Drosophila melanogaster: one gene and its partners. The gene in region 1 interacts genetically with each later gene. Each region holds a gene or a part of one and is shown in the gene's direction. Other genes may lie near its edges. The genes, in order: hkb, klar and eg.

Region 1 (6,046 bases):
CTTTCAATCTTCGTCCAGGATCACCAAATAGTGAGCTGGGGGCTTATTGAAACCCCCTACCCCTAGTCCAGTCGTAATCTATGTGCTCGTGAAGACTCTATTAAGTTTACACACTTGGAATGATAGGTACTATTAGCGGGGATCAGGTCTAGCTTGCTAAATCTTGCGATTCCACTTCTTTGAAACGTAATCTTGCTTATGTGTCTTGTGGCAAAGTAATTTGCCGACTGAAGTTTAGTTACGCTGGAAGTTTCCCCTGATCATGTCGCCGTCTGGGTCTACGTCCATCCTATATCAACAATTCACGTACTTTCCTCATATGTGGCGTGTCCCAGCTCGAGCGCATGTGAAATTTCCTAATTAATCCAAATATGAATATTACGTCGTGTTCTTATCTCGGGTGTATATCCCGTCAGGTATTGGACAGTGCAGCTAATCGTTACAGGCAATCCTGCCATTCCATGAATGAATTCACGTTCGCTGGCCGAGTGGTTACCATATCTAATTATTTTATAACTTCCTTTCATACCGGTTATGAGTGCCGCATTGTCCTAGGTAGGTTGCAGTTTACGACCCGTCGGGCTGTGAGACGATTGCGTGGAAATACCGGCGCTCATTACTTTAAGAATCTACTGCGGAAAATCCCAGGCTGCTGCAAGCCCAAGTCCAAACCTACGCAAATAAGCTAGTGAATTTTACAGTATCACCACCCTCAAGCCAGCCCAATCGGCTATCTACCTGCCACCCGACCACCAAGGGATCTATCCAGATCACAGGATCGTCCCTGCTCACGGCAATCCCAGTTTATGAATGAATTTACTAAATGAGCTCAGTCGTGAATGAAATGTTCTCCGCGGACCGCGTTTTATGGACGGTTCTACATATACATAGGTACTAACAAACCCACAACAACCCAGCCATGCCGCTGCACTCATTAGCATTGGTCGAACAATGCAGTTGGACGTAATCCCAATGATTTCCCTTTTGTTCTAAATGGCAGGACAGGGGCATAAGGCGCTAGGCCTGCGGAATGCACCTTCCCTAGAAAGCAGATATCTTTTAGGAAGTTATTATCGCTTTGGTCCGATGACAGCAGTTTTATACTCTTTTAAAAAACAACAAAACGAAAATATTTCGTTCAATTCCGCAAATCTTTCTTTTAATTCTAGCAGCAAACATTTTTATGATTATATGCTGTATCCGTCGTCTCTTGATTAGAATTAGAATTTGATTTCGAAATTATTTCAGGTATCTGTCGAAGAATATAGAGGTATATAATACATTTGGCTGCAAAAATAGGAGGCATATATTCATAATTTAGAGAAGGCTTACTTCCAATGCTTGTTGACTAGAAAATAAGATTGAACTCAGAACACTACTAATCCTATCGTGGGAATCCTTAGAGGGTATGTATTAATATTAAGTACCATTTTCCCTTTAAACTCAAATTCATACAGAAAATTGGAGTGGAAAGTAAACGCAACAGCAATTTGTAGCGGCTACCAATGCATGCGAAAAACTTGTGAACTTAAACACGAACTCTTAAAGCCAATATCGCCTTCTAAATTAAAACATTAGGTGTAGCAACGCACATTCAGCCAAAGTATGTTGTATCTGTTCTCGTAGTCTGCAGCCAGAATCGCGTTAGGGCAAACGCCTCCACGAGCCAGTAAAGTTTTTCTCAAGCACCCCCAGAGATAAAGATAAAGTTTAGGCGAACTGTACCAACTGAACAACACGCTCAAGCCTGGCAATCTCTGCAAATCCTGCCCAGCTGCTTGGCCCGCACTTTGCATATTCGTGATGTCGCGGAGCCACCCTCGAACAAGCACTTAATTTAATAATAAATTGCTGCCACATCGGGCACAGGAAACCCGAACCGCAGATAACCGAATTATACATTTGGAGAAGTATCTGTGTCTGGACGGAGGGAAGGAGGAGGAAACTGTGACTGGGAATGGGTATAAGATTGGGAGTGGGATTGGGATTGGGAGAGTGGGCCAAGCCAAGCCCAAAGCCAACCACCCGGGAATCATGGTCGGTGGGTGGGTGTGAGTACAATTCATAACATAACCGTGAAACGCAAATGCTCTGCTAAAGTTGCGCCCAAATCGGAGGCACCGCGCTGCTGGGATCGCCTGGGCCCAGTATATGTAGTACGGAGTGGAAAGAGTAGAAAGCGCAAGTTAGGAAAGCTGCCCGCCACTCGGTCGGGAGTTCGATTTTCCGGACCGGGAAAACTACGCAGGACTACACGCACACACCAGCGCCTTATATACTTCAGCTGCGAGTGTGTGTGCGAGCGGGCCGCCATTGTTGTGCCCTCGAAACCGAACCGAACCGAATCCGTGCCCGTTTCTGAAAGCGAAACCCACCCCGAAGCATCCCTCTCGCTCGCACATCCTCAGACAGACAAATAATCGATGAATGAAGCGACCCTCAGTGTGCGTGTGCGTGTGCGGGTGAGTGTGTATGTGTGTGCGCGTGTGTGTGAACGCAGGACGAATGACTGCCTGGGTATACGAAGTGTAGGTAGCCAGAGTCCTGGGTTTAAATTGAGAGGCGTCGGGGCAGGAGAGCTCAGTTCGAGTCGAGATCTCGCAGCACACACACAGCTCCGCACAACCAAATCAAGTCCAAAATCATAATCACAAGTGTTCCATCCAAGTGATTTAGTGTCGCGAGAGAGCAATTTAGACCTTCCATTAAAACTACTGCAAAATGTCGACGATTAACCTGCATCCCCCGCAAACCTACTCGCGACTTTTCCGACCCTGGGATACTCAGCGCCAGGCGGCGACCTCGGCGGCACCCAGGACAGTGAAGCAGGAGCCGGAGGCGATTACCATCAAGACGGAGCTGGCCAGCAGCAGTTTCGGCCACGACTGCGACGGAGACTTCTCCTCCGCATCCTCCTCTGCGTCAAGCAGCAGCAACAGCAGCAAGTCCTGCTACGAGGAGGCCCTGAACCACAGCAGCTACACCCGCACTTCCACCCCGCTGCTGGACGCCGCCCCGCACCCCGTCTTTTCACACCCGCAGTCGTCGCCGTTGGACACGCACGCCGCCGCCACCGCATCCTTGGCTCCGCCAAACCAGCACGCTCCATTCCTGTCGGCCGCCAGCGATCTCTACTACGCTGCCGCCGCCGCAGCAGCCGCTGCTGCCTCCACGCCCACTGCCGTCCCGGGCTTCGGCATGGACCCGTTCACTATGGGCCTGATGGAGCAAGAGTACGCCCGCGTGATGGCCGAGGACGCACAGTTAAAGGCGCTCAACAGCCGCAAGCAGCGGCCGAAGAAGTTCAAGTGCCCCAACTGCGACGTGGCCTTCTCCAACAACGGCCAGCTGAAGGGCCACATCCGCATCCACACCGGTAAGTCGACCAGAACACATCTGACCCCGAGAGTCCCACTCACTTATCTCCATTCTGTTCTGCAGGCGAACGCCCATTTAAGTGCGACGTGAACACATGCGGCAAGACCTTCACCCGCAATGAGGAACTGACGCGTCACAAGCGAATCCACACCGGACTGCGGCCGTATCCTTGCAGTGCCTGCGGAAAGAAGTTTGGCCGACGCGACCACTTAAAGAAGCACATGAAGACGCACATGCCGCAGGAGCGCCAGCTGGGCCCGTCCATCTTCGTGCCCATGTACTCATACCTTTATGGCTACTGAGAGGGAAATCCTGGCGAGCTTTCCCCTTGCCACGCGACCCTGCATTCCAGCGATCTGTAAAGCGCTTGCACGCTTTAAACAAGCATTACCGAACCGAATCCAACGAAACGAAACTTAACGCCAGCAAAAACTGCCTAGCCAATCGTGGACAGAACTACCTCAGCCGTACCTGGCGCAATGTGGCGCACTCACCAAACCCAATCTTTGGACCTCGACGATATATGCAAATATTGAGATATTTATTTTTTAACGCGTATTTACACTTCCAGCTACGTGACTGGTTATGATATTCGGCACATGTGTAAATAATCCCTAAGTGATCCTTCCTCATATGCTAAGCGATTAAGAAATTTAAGAGATGCCCGGATTTACGTCTAAGTTATACTAAAGCTGATACTTTAACAGTTTTATAAGCTGATCGTGGTTACCAGATACATACGATTTATACACAAAATTATACGATCATGGTTATATCTGAGAGTTGAATTATACGATTTATGTTTACAACACAAAATACACAAGAAAAACCGTACAAGAAAGACCTTTATTACCTGGGCGGTGTTAGAAATGAGGAGAAATGTACATAGAACTTGCAATTTTGTTCCCCAATGATTAAATGCATAGTTCCATTACGAGTATACGAGGAGCTAAAAACCAAGAACCATTACCTTTACATGTTAATGATCCACTGTCACTTCCCGTTAACCAGATCGTGCGACAAACCGCTCGTCATGCCGCCAATATCAAAGGCAAATCGGAAAATCGCATTTGAACTGTCATAAAAGGATTAAAAGGCACAAGTCATTTGGTCCGAATCTATCCAAATTTCATTCACAAATTACCCAAAATGAAACAGCACCCCAGACAAGCTGAAACCGACCAAGCCGCGATAATGAGCAGCGCCAAAACTAAGGGAAAAGTGCATTCGTGTCGCTGGCAATCTTTCCCACAGTCCTCTTTCGGTCCAGATGTGCCCACGTAAATTCGCCATTACTCAGCTGACAGCTTGCGTCATTCATTAGGACAATAAAGTGGTTCACCTGAGCAAAGAGACCTAGACACAGTGTCTGCGACAAGTCGAAAAATTACCTATGTGTTTTTGTTTGGAATTCGTTGTTCGAACAGCAATCGATTCCTGGTCACTATCAATGGCACTTCTAAAAGCGGACAATAGGTGCAGTTTATGAAAGCGGATCTAGGTGGACACCCAGCTTCCCGGACAATCGAAAATTTGTCCGCTTGATAGGGGCGTGCAGTCCTTACATTACGTGTCCCCTACCTGCTTATTGTTTTTCTCGGGCCTGAGAATATTTTCATATCGGCCAGACAGTGCGACGTCGTTCACATCGCACAAGTGACACAATGATCTATGCCGTCTCCATTCGATCCTTTACAATTGCGACTATTTGCTCCAGATACACAGTGCACCTAAAACTTCTTGAGACCACTCTCTGCAACAAGTTCAAACAATCATTTTTCAAGATGCGTGATAGTTGGCAATTAACAAGCGGGCAGTTTGGATTGATCGACGAGGGCATTCGGCAACCATGGGATTCCTAACCTAAAACGCATACATGTTCTTGACCAGATTCACTTGCCGATCCTCTCTAGGCATGTTTATCCGTCAATACAAACGTCGAAATCACTGAGCCCGAAAGAAGTAGAAGGTTTATGGAATCATGATACTATTTTTGAGTTTTTTTATTAATGAATACAATAATGTATGTGGACTTTAGTCATATCATATCATATATCAAGAAGTAGGCCATTTCGATATGGTGTTTTATTTATATGTAACAAACATACCCGTATTTCTAGTGAGCACAACGCTGATAATAACCAAATCGCAATTTCACATTTTAAAATTGATAAAAACGCAGAACTGAAATAGTGGTCAAAAATAAAACTTTACAAAAAGAAAGCTGAAACACCCGTGTAGAAATGATACGTTAAGAAAAAAACAATGAAGATACATTTTCATGTTTTATATACCATACCGTTACTAGGTTTAAGTTTTCCATATGGTGAATGAATATGTCATTTTACCCGTTACTCGTAGAGTTAAAGGGTATACTAGATTCGTTGTAAGTAGTACGTAACATGCAGAAGGAAGCGTTTTGGGCCATATAAAGTATATATGTATATATACTGTTGATCAGGATGAATAGCCGAGTTAAACTGGCCACGTCTGTCTGTCAGTCCGTATGAACGTTGAGATTTCAAGAACTATAAAAGCAAGAAGGTTGATATTAAGCATACAGATTATAAAGACAAGGACGCATCGCAAGCTTGTTGACACACGTTGCCACGCCCCTTTTAAAGCCCAGAACTGCCACGACCACACTTTTGAAAAATGATTTGATATT
Region 2 (7,143 bases), on another chromosome or scaffold:
GCAACAAAAAAAAACACGCTACCACACACACACACACACTTGCAGCTAAGGGAAAAGGCTTTTCTTTTCATATTTCGCTTACTTTTTGCTTCATTAACAACTATACGTGGAAAGTGCTGTGGAAATTTGATTATAAAAAAACACTCGCCATGATTCCGATCCTCTCTAACTTTTCGCGTTGTCTCACTCACGCTCACGCACTCACTCTTATTATCTGTCTCTTTTCTCGCGAGCCCGACGAAAAATTCCGTCCGCTAAATATTTTCCACGATTTTTTCGTCGAATTTTGAAATGGAACTAATTGAAAAATACCCTTGCGTGTGCTCACAAAAACCCTAAAAAATACCAAGGTGCGTCTATATACTATACTATATATATACCAGAAGTATACCGCAGCAGTTCAGGGTTGCCAGGCGGCCTAAGTGACTACGCTTAAGCTGGTCACTCTGACTCTGCCGGTTTTAACAATTTTACTGAAGTCTCGCTAATTTAACAACAAATATAGTTATGCTGTCCCTAAGCGATCCCAACAATGCTGGTGGCATTCCCGACAAGGCGTGGCAGCCGCACTTCGTGACCCTGGAAACGAGGTGAGTCCGGAGCTTGAATGCTCGATAATCGCCGAAACTGAAGACTGAGCATTTGTTTATCACATTATTTGTGGCATTTGTGCCCCGCGCAGCATGGGAGAAATCACCGTGGAGCTGTACTGGAAACACGCGCCCAACACCTGCCGCAACTTTGCCGAACTCTCGAGAAGGGGCTACTACAACAACGTGGTGTTCCACCGGATCATCAGGGACTTCATGATCCAGGGCGGCGATCCCACGGGCACTGGCCGCGGAGGCGCCTCCATCTACGGATCGGAGTTCGCGGACGAGCTGCACGGCGACTTGAGGCACACGGGCGCGGGCATCCTCTCGATGGCCAACTCTGGACCGGACACCAACGGGTCCCAGTTCTTCATCACGCTGGCGCCCACGCAGTGGCTGGATGGCAAGCACACGATCTTCGGCAGGGTCTACACGGGCATGGAGGTGGTCAAGCGGATCGGCATGGTGGAAACCGACAAGAACGATCGCCCCGTGGATCCCCTAAGGATCATCAAGGCCAAGGTGGAGAAGCTGTGAGCCAAGGAGGTGGATTTTTTGGAGGAACTGCTAGAATAAGTACGATTTAAACAAGCGAAAGGTATCTTTCCATATGGATTTTATAACACTGATTATATGTATTTACGGAATGACTAGAAAGACAAGATCTCTTTGATTGGTTGATCACAGGATAGCGTAGCCCTATTTTACATGGTGCTGTCCAACATGTCCACCAGCCGCTTGATCTGCCTTCTGCGGAAGAGAAAGTCCATTACACTAAAGGGATCTGTCTTGAATTGACCCACTTACATGCGCTGACCCAGCTGCTCTGTGGGTTTCATCGACTTGGTGATTTCCTCCGCCTTGGCCAGCAATTGGTACTGGCACTTGATATTCGCGTCCAAAGTGTCCGTCAGCTTGTTGACCGCGTTGCGATGGACCTCCACGTTGTCGGCCGTTATGGAGGAGATTGAGTGCAGCAGGTTGCCCAGGTTTTCCATCAGATTGTCCACCGAGCTGGCCAAGTACTGAGCCTCCAGTTCGATGTCGCTCAAGACGCTGCCGTCCACTTCGGGAATGTTGCGCGACTGCAGGAACCGCCGCGTGAGCAGACCGTTGCCGGAAGTGGCTCCAATGGGACCCATGGAGCTCAGGGGCGTGGTGTGCTCCGAGGAGTAGGCCGAAGCCGCCACGCGCTCGCGCAACTTGGCCTCTAGATCGTGGGCCACAAAGTGGCGCATCCCGTCGGAGTCACTGGTTTCGCCGTCCAGCTCGTAGGGCACAGCTGAAAGAAGGAAGATGCTTTAGTCAGGAACTATGGGTAGATAACCTAGAACCCACTGCTCTCTGCCTTCAGTCTGTGCCTTTCGATGTCGCCGGAACTGCCCTTAGAGTTGCTATTCGAGTTGCTGTTGTCCTCCTCCTCCAAGGGATCGTCTTCCTCGTCGGGATCCTCGCCCGAATCCAGGTTAAGGTATTTCTCGCCGTTGGGTCTTGTCTTTGTGCTTCCGGGAATCGCAGCATGGCCAGTGGCTGTGGGCGTCAGATCCTGGAGCACGTGCTCTGGCACCGCTCCCGGATACTGAGCCAGGAACGGAATTTCCGTGTAGGAGGAGGCGGGCGTGGCTCCGGATCCAGAACTCCTGGCTGCCCCTTCCGATGGGCCACTCTCCTCGGCCACATAACCGTAACGTGGGCGGATGGGAATGTCCTGGTGGCGGTGCGACATTCTGCACTGCTCTTTTCAATCCAAGGAACTTTAGGCAGACTAAGAAATGTATGTCAATTTTCTGAATGAAAACCAAAACAAAGCATTTACTGGTATATACCAAATGGTTATCGATAACATCTATTTATCGAATGTATTTGCATTAGGCCCTGTTCAGGCTGAGGTCCACCTTACCTATATCGAGCCTTTTTTACGTAGGATTGACCTATGCAACTTGATGTGCGTAAACTATATTTTCCTAACCCTGATGGAAATTTCGGTTTTAGTGAGAAACAGATTTCAGATGTTATTTGGTTGAGTATATGACAGTTCGATAGTATCGCACACTTACTCTTCACGATTTTGCTTTTACCAAGAAATGGTCACACTCCAGCTCGCACTATCGAGTCATCGATAGGACCGATAGGCCAGCCCGTTAAATCGAAGACAGTCGTGTTTATAATTTGCGGCTCCGAGGTGTGCGGCGCGCATTGGGCAGACTGGAGTGAACTAAGTAAATCTGCAGCGTTCTAATTTAATTGCGCGATGAGCGCGTAAAAACACACCTGCGTAGCGCTGCAATAAAACCAATGTAGATTTTTGTTTATATGTTCGCGTTTCCATCGTATTTTTCGAGTCTTATTCGTTTTAATTGTTAGTGCTCGTACGCTAAGTGAATTGCTAGCAACTTGGGGCTAAAAGTGCCAAAAAGAGCCAGAATCGAAAAGAAGCGGCTAAAGAGGAATAAGCGAAAAGGAAGCAACGAAAACGGTGTTTTGCTCTCTTTCTCCTCTCTCATCCTCGCCATGTGTGTGCGTGTGCAAATGTGTGTGTTGGCGTCGCTAAAAAAGTGCATGTGAAGATTAGGAAAATAATAAGGAAGGCAACGAAAAGTAAAATAAAATTTGATGTACAAAATACGCAAATTGGTGACAAACAATGTACAAGTGGCATACATGAAATAAAGTTTTATGCAAAAAAAACAAAATCGACTGCAGTGCGTGCACTTGTGTGTATGTGCCGCTGCATATGTGTATGTGTGCAGTGTGGAAATAAAGCAAGAGAGAAAAAAAAACTGTTTGCAGCCGGGGTACAAATTCCAATTGGAGTCTCAAGGAGCATAAATTCCCATTCGACGCATGCGTGGCTGCTAAAAAAAGCAAGTAAGTTAAATTGTTTGTACTAAAGAATCTTATAAAATGCAACTGAAAATGGATAAAAGTGTAAAAAAAAGGAAAGACTTTTTTGCCTTCTCTGTTTTCTACGGGTACGTACGAATGTGTGTGTGTGTGTGCTCTCTTCTATTTTGTTCTTGACTTCTTGTTCTTTTCTTCTTCTTGGCCAGTTACTCTTATGCTTTGTCTTTCTTCTCAGGCCGTTCTGCTTCTTTCTTTTAACTGCAAATTGTGCAGTCAGCAAGTATGAGAGCGAGAAAGAGACAGCGATCTTTCTTTTTCACCCACCCACTTCTTCCCCTCTTCCTCTAGCGGTTATATTCGCTTTATTGTATTGGTGCTTTTCCTATCTATATCTACCGTTATGTTTCGATTGCGATTTCGTAATAACTGCGATAATATTTGCTCTCTCTCGCTCTTCTTCTCTTTCGGCTTTCCACTCTCTTCCCTTTTAGTTATGTGTGTGTAACTGCACATTTGAATTGTTGTTGTTTTTATTAAAATGCGTGGGTTGATTTTTCAATCAATCAATCAATCGTTTATTTTGGCATCGATAATATGGAAAAGTGGATTGATATGTGGACAAGAAAAGCATGTGATGAATCAGGAGAAAGGAATTACTCGATAATTAGCTTCTAACTTTTATATTCTGTAAAAAAATGTATTTTTAAACGTCTAAATCCAATAGGAAAAACAAGCAAGTTGGTCGAAAATAAAAGAACTCAATTTCTGGATCCTTGTTTTGTTAAGTATTTCCCTATTTCGCACTTTAAATTCCATTCCATTTCTATAAACAAATGTTGTCGCACTCTTACTGTTTATTTACATCGCATCGAAGAAAGATTTTCCATTTTCATGGGCGACACTTGAACGGGGTTTTCTCTGGCCTTTTCCCACAACCATTTCCTCGTCGAGCACTTAAATGAAAATGCTGTTTTTATTTATTGATTTCCATATTGCATTCATCTCGCGTTTTCCCGCTCGCCCACTCGATGACCCGCTGACCCAGCGGGAAATGGAAAATCGTTTACTGCAACATTTTACTGGTGCCCTCTTCCTAGATTTCCCACCCTCCCCTCTCGTGGGTTTCCCCATTTTCCTCGGGGCGGGGTTAAGGCGATGCCTTGGAGCAGATTAAACGCGCGTCCTAATGCGATTTGCATTCGTCTTTCCCCCGCTTTTCCTTCGACTTTCCAGTACATCGTGCCCGGTTTGGGGTCAGCGACTAGGAAATCTAATTGAGGAAATTCCTATTATTTTCCACTCGCGCGCCGCCTGCTCTTTCATTTTCATTTTCCCCAGCTTAACCCCAAAGTGTTTTGGCTTTAACGCTCACGTGCCGAGTCTCTTTGGGCCAAAGACCTGAAGTCCCAATATGTCAAAATCCCATCTCATGTGCGTGGCCAATTTTGGCCAGGTCTGGTCGGTCTTTAAGCCATGTTTCCTTCTCCTCCGAGATAAGCGTGTTAATGGCTCATTAGCAGTGGGTCGGTTTAGGTCACTTTGGAGCCAAATTGCCTAACCGAAGACTCGAAAATAAGCGAAATATCAACGAGTTTTTAGGCCCAAATCTCTCCCACACTCTTAGCGGCTCTCAAATGGCGGGAAAGTAATGAAGAAATAAATACAAATCATCCAGAAGGAAGTTGAAAATTATTGAATTCATAAAGGAAACGAAAAATCAATCCCAAAGAATGATTGTCAATATCTAATCTCCTAATGTTCGAGTTCGATTAACACAATTGTGTATAATTCCACTTTCCTCTAACTGTTTTCTTAAAATTTTTTGTAAGCCAAATTGAGGTCAGGAAAATTCTTTCAACTCTTGTTCTCTAAAAATAAAAAAACTCGGCATACAAACTTTTTGCCTGATCATCTCTACAGTCATTGTCTTCTCAATTTGGAACTAATTTGGGTAGGGAACTTCAAAAGTGCAAATGAATTTATGAACATTTGGGGTTCTTTTCTTCTGAATAGTAAAAAGGTCTTGGAAAGCAGTATTGAACAAATAGTATACTTAATAGTAGGTACGAATTACTCTAAAACCAAAAATTACAATTTTGTAACTGACATTTTATTCACACCCACTTTTAATATAACTTCTGTGGCACGCTTTTGTTATTTATCTTGCATTATTCGCCCTCATTTCTGATGCTTACATTAATGCACACCCTTCTCGGAATTCATCCCCTGCATTTTGAAGGTGTTATATGTTATATACTGACTGTTATACTGGTGTTCGTTCACCCCCTAGACTTTAAATTTCCACCCGATGTAAGCGATGTTGGTCTTCATTCTTGCTCGCCAGTTTAATTACAGCATTTCTGATCATTGATTCACTTGCTTCGCTGAGCAACTTTTACAGATGAGATCATCTCATCTGGAATTCCCCACCCCAAACCCCTTTTAATTAACAGTTTCTTATGTATGCTCGAATTTATTCCGCAATGTTTTCCACAAAGAAATTGCGCAATGATGGCGGAAATCTTTCCGAGATCTTCATCTGATTTTCCCTAAGTGAGCTCACTTTGCTTTGGGATTTCGCAAACGCCTGTCAAAGTTCCGTAAACATTTCATCTCCAAAGAACTGGAGTTCTATTATACATTGTATATTGTTGTTTGTTCCACTTATTCCGCCAATATGGATTGACCTCCTTCTGATTTGTTTACAGCCAGCGGAAAATGATGGGTTAAGCGAGGAGGGTCAAAGGGGAGGTGCCGTTTGATGGCTGTGTTTTGTGGAAGGTGTAAAATGAAAAGCGAATCGTTTACCTGGTAATTTTTGTTTTTTTGCTTTAGCTGTTGCCTTGTTTTGGTTTTTCCCCATTGAGAAATAGTTTTTTGTGGCCACGTAAATAGATTTTGAAGGCATGCTTTGGAGAAATTCAATATCAAACCTAAACTATATGTTGTATTCAGCACCTGTTTGATTTGGTTTTGATTGCTTTCGATAATCGAATGTGCATCTGATCGACGTGAATCATCTGAATCATCAGGGTCTTTCAATTTGTTGATCAACTTGAGATGAGCATTTCCCCTTTCCCTTTTCCCGGCGCGCAACTTTTCCTTTTTTCTGTATTTTTGGTGTCCAAATATTGACCTCGCTCCGTCGTCTTCTGCCTTCTCCTATTTGTTTTCCCGAATAAATCTTTTCCCCTTAACGATGTCCGCATTGTTTGCAGCTCATTAATTTTCCAAAGGTTTTTCTCTCAATTTTACCCGGCTCTTTGATTTTTTATCTGCATTTCCGCATCGAGTTTGTGTTTTTCTCCTCAGCTTCTTTTGACGCACACGAACATGCAACTGTTTGTTGCATGTTTCTTTCTGGAGGGGGCGGGTAGGAAAGGCACTCCTACAAATTATGTCAAACTATCTGTAAACGAAAATCTCATTTGGCCACTGTGTCAGCTGCTGAAGTCAATCACCAGACGGTCGCTAATTAATTTCCATCTTTTCTAGCAGCAAACGAAGTTTTTTGTTCGGAAGTCTAATTTGTTGGTATCAGCTTTGATTATTTTGCATTTGAAATTAACCTTGAATTCGGTAGACAAACACACCAAATTTATTCAGCAAATTCATTGGGAACCGGTTCGCATGTTGTTGTTTAAATAGTTTCGCATTTTTCAGCGTTTCTCGATGGAGAATAAGTAGAGGTGTGTCTCGGGGAGAA
Region 3 (6,969 bases), on another chromosome or scaffold:
CTTAATTTACCTTAAGGCATTAAATACTTAACAGTAAAAGTATCCAAATGGCATCTAACTTTTGGTAACAACAATTTTTGAGGAGTATTTTCATAGATGACCCATCTTCCATATATCCTTATATCGCCAATAGTATTGTCAGTGGCTGGGGGGTCGGGGTGAAGGAAAGGAGAAGATGACTATAACTTACAGCTACAACAACAGACAGTGGCAAAAATATGTCCATGTAACGTATTCCTCACTCCCTCTCCTTCGCCTGTCCAGCAGCTATCTCTATCTGACTTCATGCAATGCAATTCTAAAAATTGAATTATTCATGGCGATTGTACGACAATCAATTGAAATTGAAATAAAATGCTGCCTGCCAGTTGTTGCCGATGTTGTTGTTGTCGATGTTGTTGCGTCTAAACGCGTTGTTGTTGCAGCGTTTGCTACCGCCTTTGACATGTGCGCAGATCGATTTTCAGATTTTTTTGGCCCGGCTTGGCCTGCGTCCGTTCAATCGAAATTGTGATTTAAAGTATCTGTATCTGGATCGATTTGGCATCGATCGCATGTCGCCAAATGTCTTCAATCCTCTGGCATTCCGGCCTCAAGTCAGCTTTGGAAGATTTGTCGCCTATTTTGTGTGTGCCTCGCAGCGATTTCTTTCGCAGATTCGTCTGGTTTTTTGGCCATGGCCAATTTGTATTTGGCCATGCCAGCGCACAAAACAGACCTGTTCAAGTGTTTGCCAATCTCCGATTGGCTTGACTGAAGTTTTCACTGAAAATTTGTAGTGGGAAAAAGTCACTTTACTGAGTTGATCCTTAAGCTTTATTTAAATAGAAAACTTTAAAATGTAAGTAATAAATTTAAATTAAATTTGTGTAAAGCTTAACTAACAACAATATGAACTTGCCAAAAACAAAAAAACAATTACTTGTTGAAGATTTGGTGCATCATTGGCATTTACAATTTCCTAGCGATTTAGTTAATTTTAAAAGTGATTTAAAAAGTATATCTTCCAAATCTCTTATTGATAGAATTAAAATTCGGGAAATTCTATATCCTGAGTACAATTTGTTTAAGTCCGTCTTGAAAGTAAGCCAACCAACTCTGTTCATAATTAGATTAAAGTTTCTTGCTCTCCGCTCCGTATCGCTTCAAGTGGCCACAATTTGAGGCAGATTGCGCTCTAATAAATATGGGCAGCCATCTAAGCTAATGCCCCAACTCATCACCGAGTTGAGAGATGAGCACGCAAGCAGGCGAGATACGCATGCGCCCGTTGCCAAGGCCCAAACTTAATTAAAAATTTGGAGAGAGCGGAGGGAAAATTTCAGATTGCCCACGAGCTGAAGAAATTTTAATATGACGACCAAATTGCACCGCAGCAGCTCCAGGAGCTGCATCGCCACTTGGCAGATTATGACGACAACTATACTGACAGGCAGAGCCAGAGGAAACTACTCCAAGAAACTAGCCAGATTCAGTTGCAGTCGCAATCGGAGTCTCCGTTCCAGTTCATGGCTAAATGCTTTTGGCTGTGATAAATTACACGTCGTTTTAGAGTGTTGCGCTTCCTTGTTACTCCGTCAAGTGGTGTTGACACGGCCGCGGCGAATGCAGAGTATTAAACGATCTCCGCCGTGGCACTCTTCTTCCGTCCAGTGGTGTTATTAAAATGAAATCATCATCATCACCAAGTGACAGAAGCCGGGAGTCTGAGCCTGAGCCTGAGCCTGAGTCTAAGTCTGAGCTGAGATGAGTTGAGATGGAGGGACAGACAACGACTGGTCAAATGCCCGGGGATCACTTTAGTGGGCATCTCGGCGCACGAAGGCAGTCATCTGATCATGCTTATGACAGGAGAATTCAATTAGACATATGGAAACGCGTTGATTGTTCCACTGGCAATTTTGCGCCTGGTGGCAATCCGATTTAAGCAGCACAGAACTAGCATTGATTATTTTGCAATTGTTGTTGAAGTACCGTATCGAATGTATTTAAATGGATACCATTTAGCCCTAATAAAATTGATTCCTTGTTAAACAATCTCATGCAACTTTTATTTTATTTACGCTCACAAGAATATAGCTTTATATATACCATTAGTGGCAGAATTTTGTATTCAACCTAAAAGAATTCTGCAGTGCCCCCAGATAGAATAAACCAACATCTATGCATATGTTTTCCATGTGGTCATCTCCAATCGTTATCAATCCGACAAAGATTCACATAAAAATATTTAAATATACGAAAGACTAGGGAGGCGAACTTGTTTTCTCCATTTTGCAGGTCAAGCCACAAATAACCTCTGATGTTTTCTTGGTTTCTCCCAATGTTTGTTTACACTGATCGCCGGGCATTAAGTGCCCACCTCCTTGCCACATTAGTCGTCCAATACGAGTTCAATTGGATGCACATGCACAACGAAGCAAACCAGGGCCAACACTCTCGCGGCCAATACACTCAAATGATAACAGTACCGTGTGTAGAGTCAAACGGGGGTAAAAAGACATCAGCCAACAGCCAACCGCATCGACACAGTATTCAATGGAAACGAACGAAACGCTTGGAGATCGTGCCGGTGCCAACAGCCAACCACAGTTCAGCTCTCAGAAGATGCGACGCTTTAACATTTACGGAGAGCGGAGAGTCGCGAACCGAGCTGGAAACGTACAGCAAACATGTTCGAAGCGAGGTCGGTAGCAGGGTGCACTTGGAGAAAAATGTTAGCACTCTTAATATACATAAATGCGTTTTGACTTATTTCAGTTAGCGTTGTAGAAACAAAAAACTGCATTTTTTCAGGGTACTAACTTGTCAATAATATCTTTAATATATTATTTAATAATATATATTTAATATAATTGTTTTAAAATTCTCCCGAAAATAACAAATCTTGTTTCGTTAACAGTTCAGTCAACAGATCTTACCGCCATAACATTGCTGTTAAACCGGCAGAACGGAGCACGCGCACCATTCGCCACAGCAGCTGTTTGCCAAACAGGATTTCCTGCAGCGACGGCCGCCGATTAACAGTTAAGTTTCGCCGTGCCCTGCCACTGTTGCAAACGCACGCACACAATCTAGCGACGCGTGCGCTTTGTTGTCTTGTTGCCGCTGCTGTTGCTGTTAGTGCTGCTGTTCGTGCTGCCGCGCTGCAGATGCTGCTGCTGCTGGGGTAAGATGATCTTTGAGGCCAGGGCCGCGCTGCCAGTTCGAGTCTGTTTGGCGCTCAGAACGACGGCGACGATTTAGTCTCGGATGGACGCTACGCTGCCAAGCACCGTCAGTCAGGCTTTCGCTGTTCTCTCGCTCTCGCAATCGCATTATATCCGACCGATCGCGAAGTTTTTCGGCACTATGTGCGCCACGTGATTGCTGAAATCTCCTTCGAAAGCCGTCGCTATATCATCAGCGATAATTCGGATTTAAGGTGTCATGTGAAGAGTGTGTTTGATATAATCAGTTGATTTTCATTCAAACGTATCCCAGTGTGTGAAGTTAAAAAAAAAACTGGAAAAATTAACATCTAAAGAGGAAAAAATAAATAAATAGTGAGTTGGTAAAAACATCGAATTTATGCTGTTGTGGAAATATATGATCTGGAAAAGGTAAGATTTTGTTGTATATGAGCTTATGCTATTAAAAAATGGCTAAGTCTCCCTGCTGACAAACAAAACATATTAAGAGAATAAATAAAACATTTATTCATTGAATTAATGAGACAACAACAAGTTGAGATGCTGGACACATAATTCAAACGCTAAAACAATAGATAAATACAAGCAATATATATATTAAAGGCTTAATTGAATAAAAACCATTTTGCATAATTTCCATAAATTTGTCGGATGGTTGTTGTAAGTCAAAATAAATCGCAAATAAAAGATTAATACCGAAAACAATTGCATTATAAAAACCAAACCAATTAAAGACTGAAATTATACAATTTAATAATATTTTTAGCAATAATTGAAATACTTAGTACAAACTATTAAAATCAAAACAAAAAACCAACAATAAAAAGACAAATCTGTTGCGAAGAAATGGCCCAACTATCCCCAGCTATCAAGGACCAAGCTTAACTCCCATGAGTTCGTACTCACACCACTAAGGAGGACCAAGGAGAACCAGAAAAAGTGTAATGGTGAAGACAAAAGAAGCTCATTGACATGCTCATTAATAATGTTATTGCCTTTTGTGCGATAAGTGTCAAGAAATTTCTACAATAGGGGCTGCGAATGGACAAAGATGGGAGATATTCAAACATTTAATTGTCCAACTGCTGTCGGCAATCAAGCAGAAAAGGGCCAGGGGCAGCCTGAAGCGACTGGATCGTGGATCCTCGATCGCGAAGGAAGAAGGATCAAGGATGGAGGATGGAGGATGGAGGATGGAGGATGGAGGATGGAGGATGGAGGATGGAGGATGGAGGATCGCAGATCAAGAATTGCGGAAGCAGACAATTCAAACTAGAGCGTGTGACTGCTGAGTGGATTTGCATACTGCGAATGTCCGTCTCCAGTGGTTGGCAGGGCTAATAATAAAGCATATTACCGGCAATTGTGCGCGAGATGGAAGGCGATTCGGGTGTAGGAAGGGTTTGGGCTTGGGTTTGGGTTTGGGTTAGGGCTTGGACTTGGATTTGGATTGCAGATTGTGTCAATGCTCCGGGGTTCGGTTCAGTGGGCTGTGTTCTTGATTCTTGTTCTATTTTGTAGCGGCTTCAAAATATTTGAGACAATCGTGGTTTGCTTGTTTGAACACCTTTTCTCCCTCTGTTGCCTTTATCAGATTTGGCATTGTCCATCATTTTGTTTGCTTTAAAGGACACATTTTTTTGGGACCTTGTTTATTATTCCTATTGAGAGAAGTCCAACGTTCTGCCCACTTTTTTTCAGCTCTGTCAACAGCGAGTTGATGAGCTTGTTGAGAATGTGGCAGCGACCAACTGATCTGGTTCTTATTGTCTAAGCCGCTCTGAACTTGTCCCCATCGAGTTCATCTGCAGATCTCCATAGATTAGATCCGAACAATCTCCTCCACTTGGCTTGCGATCAATATACAGTTGTAGTTTCTGTAGCAGTTTAGGTTTCTAATTAATTGTCTGTTTCTGCCCAATGTGTAACATTAATCTTGGCTTAATCGATAAGTCTGACAGCCAAGATCGTTCCTATATCTGGTCTGATCTGTTCGGTTCGATATACACTCAGAAATGAACAATGGGGATTCTGTTTTTAAATTTGAAAGGAACCTGCAGAGTCAAATATTTCGAATTGGCACAACCAAAGACACTAGAATGTCTTTGGCACAACTCTCGTCTACTCATTGTTTTCCCACAAATCGAACTGGCCATCGGACCTAAGCATTGCATTCACCTTAAATTTGGGCTCGGCTTGAGGACTTGTAATTAGCTCGAAGCATGGGAATTATGTACTCCTCCATGACATCTACTACTTCTATGCGCTGACTTAAAGGGGTCCTAAAGATGCCCCAAGAACAAGACTCTCAAATATGCGCCCGGTTACGTGGATCAGTGGCCTTGGTCGTTGTCGTCGTGATAAAGCCAAAAAGATTGAGATGCCGCCTGCGGATAGGGATCTGCAAGTTTATAGCTCGAGCGTGCCGCTCAATTGGATTTCAATCGGGTTTCTCAATAAGGATCGAAATGATTTTTGACTTTTTGGTTCTTTATCTACGAAGTTCAGGTACGGCGAGATGTATTGCAATTTACAGCACTTCTATGCATATTAAGTGCATAAATATTTAGTTTTATGAGTGCTTATTTATGAAAGCAGTGCAGCAGTAATATAGGTTGTTCCCAATGTCGAAGGTAAATGCACCTATTTGATGTAATTATACTCATTTTTCGGCTAACACGATGCTTATGAATCCATTTCCCCAAAACTCCTCCATTCAGAGATCTTCTTTCTAGCTGAGTGCAATCTGGCTTACCACTCCAGCTCCACCACGAACTGCGGTTCTGAGTCTTTGGGACCCAGAGATGGAAGATCTCCTCGATGATTTTCCTGCTTTCTGAAAAAGTGCACCGCTGTGCCGAAAATTGTCACGGTTTCGCGGTCGATGGCTCGCTTGCTGTGAAGGTGCAAATTTAATGTTTGCCAATTTAGCAGCGCTCTGCTGTCACCTTTGGTGTCCATTAGCGAGCGTTTATATGCAAAGTGCCGAGCATTGGCAGGCCAGCTCCGGATCTGGCAGCCGGCGGGCTTTGGACGGGGCCAACCATTATCACAGAAGCAGCATCACGTTGTGGCCACACCACCTGCTGGGCGCATTTCGCGGAGCAGCTCCCTGCCACTTGCATCCCTGGTCCGGAAAATATCCAGACTGGGAAAACTCTGGGGAGCACTTAAGCTTGCTAGCTGGCTGTCATTGGAGGGAGTCAGGGCGTTCTGTGGCAGTTCTGGTTCTCAAAAGGGCCAACGAGAATTACGAAGATCCTGATGGTTACAGAGCCGCACGTAAATACTTGATTTTTATTTATGATAACAATACTTAAAATAATAAAAATATTAATTATTCTTATTATAATATTAATAAAAATAATGATAATAATAATAATATTAATAATAACAATAATAATTATAATAATAATAATAATAATAATAAGAACAATAATAATAATAATAATAATATTTATAATATTAATATTATATTATATAATATATAATATATAATATTATATTAATAATAATATTAATGATAATAATAATAATAATAATAATAATAATAATAATAATTATAATAATAACAATAATAATAATAATAATAATAATAATAATAATAATAATAATAATAATAATAATAATAATAATAATAATAATAATAATAATAATAATAATAATAATAATAATAACAGTAACAATACTAAAAAGAATAATCAGATTTAATCAAAAATGTATCCGTTTTACTTTTTTTTTTTAAATAAATGTTTCTCTCTTTAAAAAGGTTCTGTAT

The links.
Region 2: of hkb (region 1) and klar, changing one suppresses a phenotype caused by changing the other (phenotypic suppression), as found in Drosophila melanogaster (one study listed by BioGRID).
Region 3: of hkb (region 1) and eg, changing one suppresses a phenotype caused by changing the other (phenotypic suppression), as found in Drosophila melanogaster (one study listed by BioGRID).

The regions. Positions count from the first base shown.
Region 1 is NT_033777.3:4,343,179-4,349,224, reverse strand, and holds hkb (huckebein), read left to right. Parts: upstream 1-2,578; 5' UTR 2,579-2,721; coding exon 2,722-3,376; intron 3,377-3,441; coding exon 3,442-3,680; 3' UTR 3,681-4,210; downstream 4,211-6,046.
Region 2 is NT_037436.4:536,217-543,359, reverse strand, and holds the start of klar (klarsicht), read left to right. Parts: upstream 1-2,745; 5' UTR 2,746-3,461; intron 3,462-7,143. Other genes in the region: Cypl (Cyclophilin-like), read left to right, coding at 508-590, 683-1,130; BORCS6 (BLOC-1 related complex subunit 6), read right to left, coding at 1,298-1,343, 1,401-1,875, 1,932-2,319.
Region 3 is NT_037436.4:21,805,636-21,812,604, forward strand, and holds the start of eg (eagle), read left to right. Parts: upstream 1-3,067; 5' UTR 3,068-3,169; intron 3,170-3,203; exon of another isoform or gene 3,204-3,602; intron 3,603-6,969.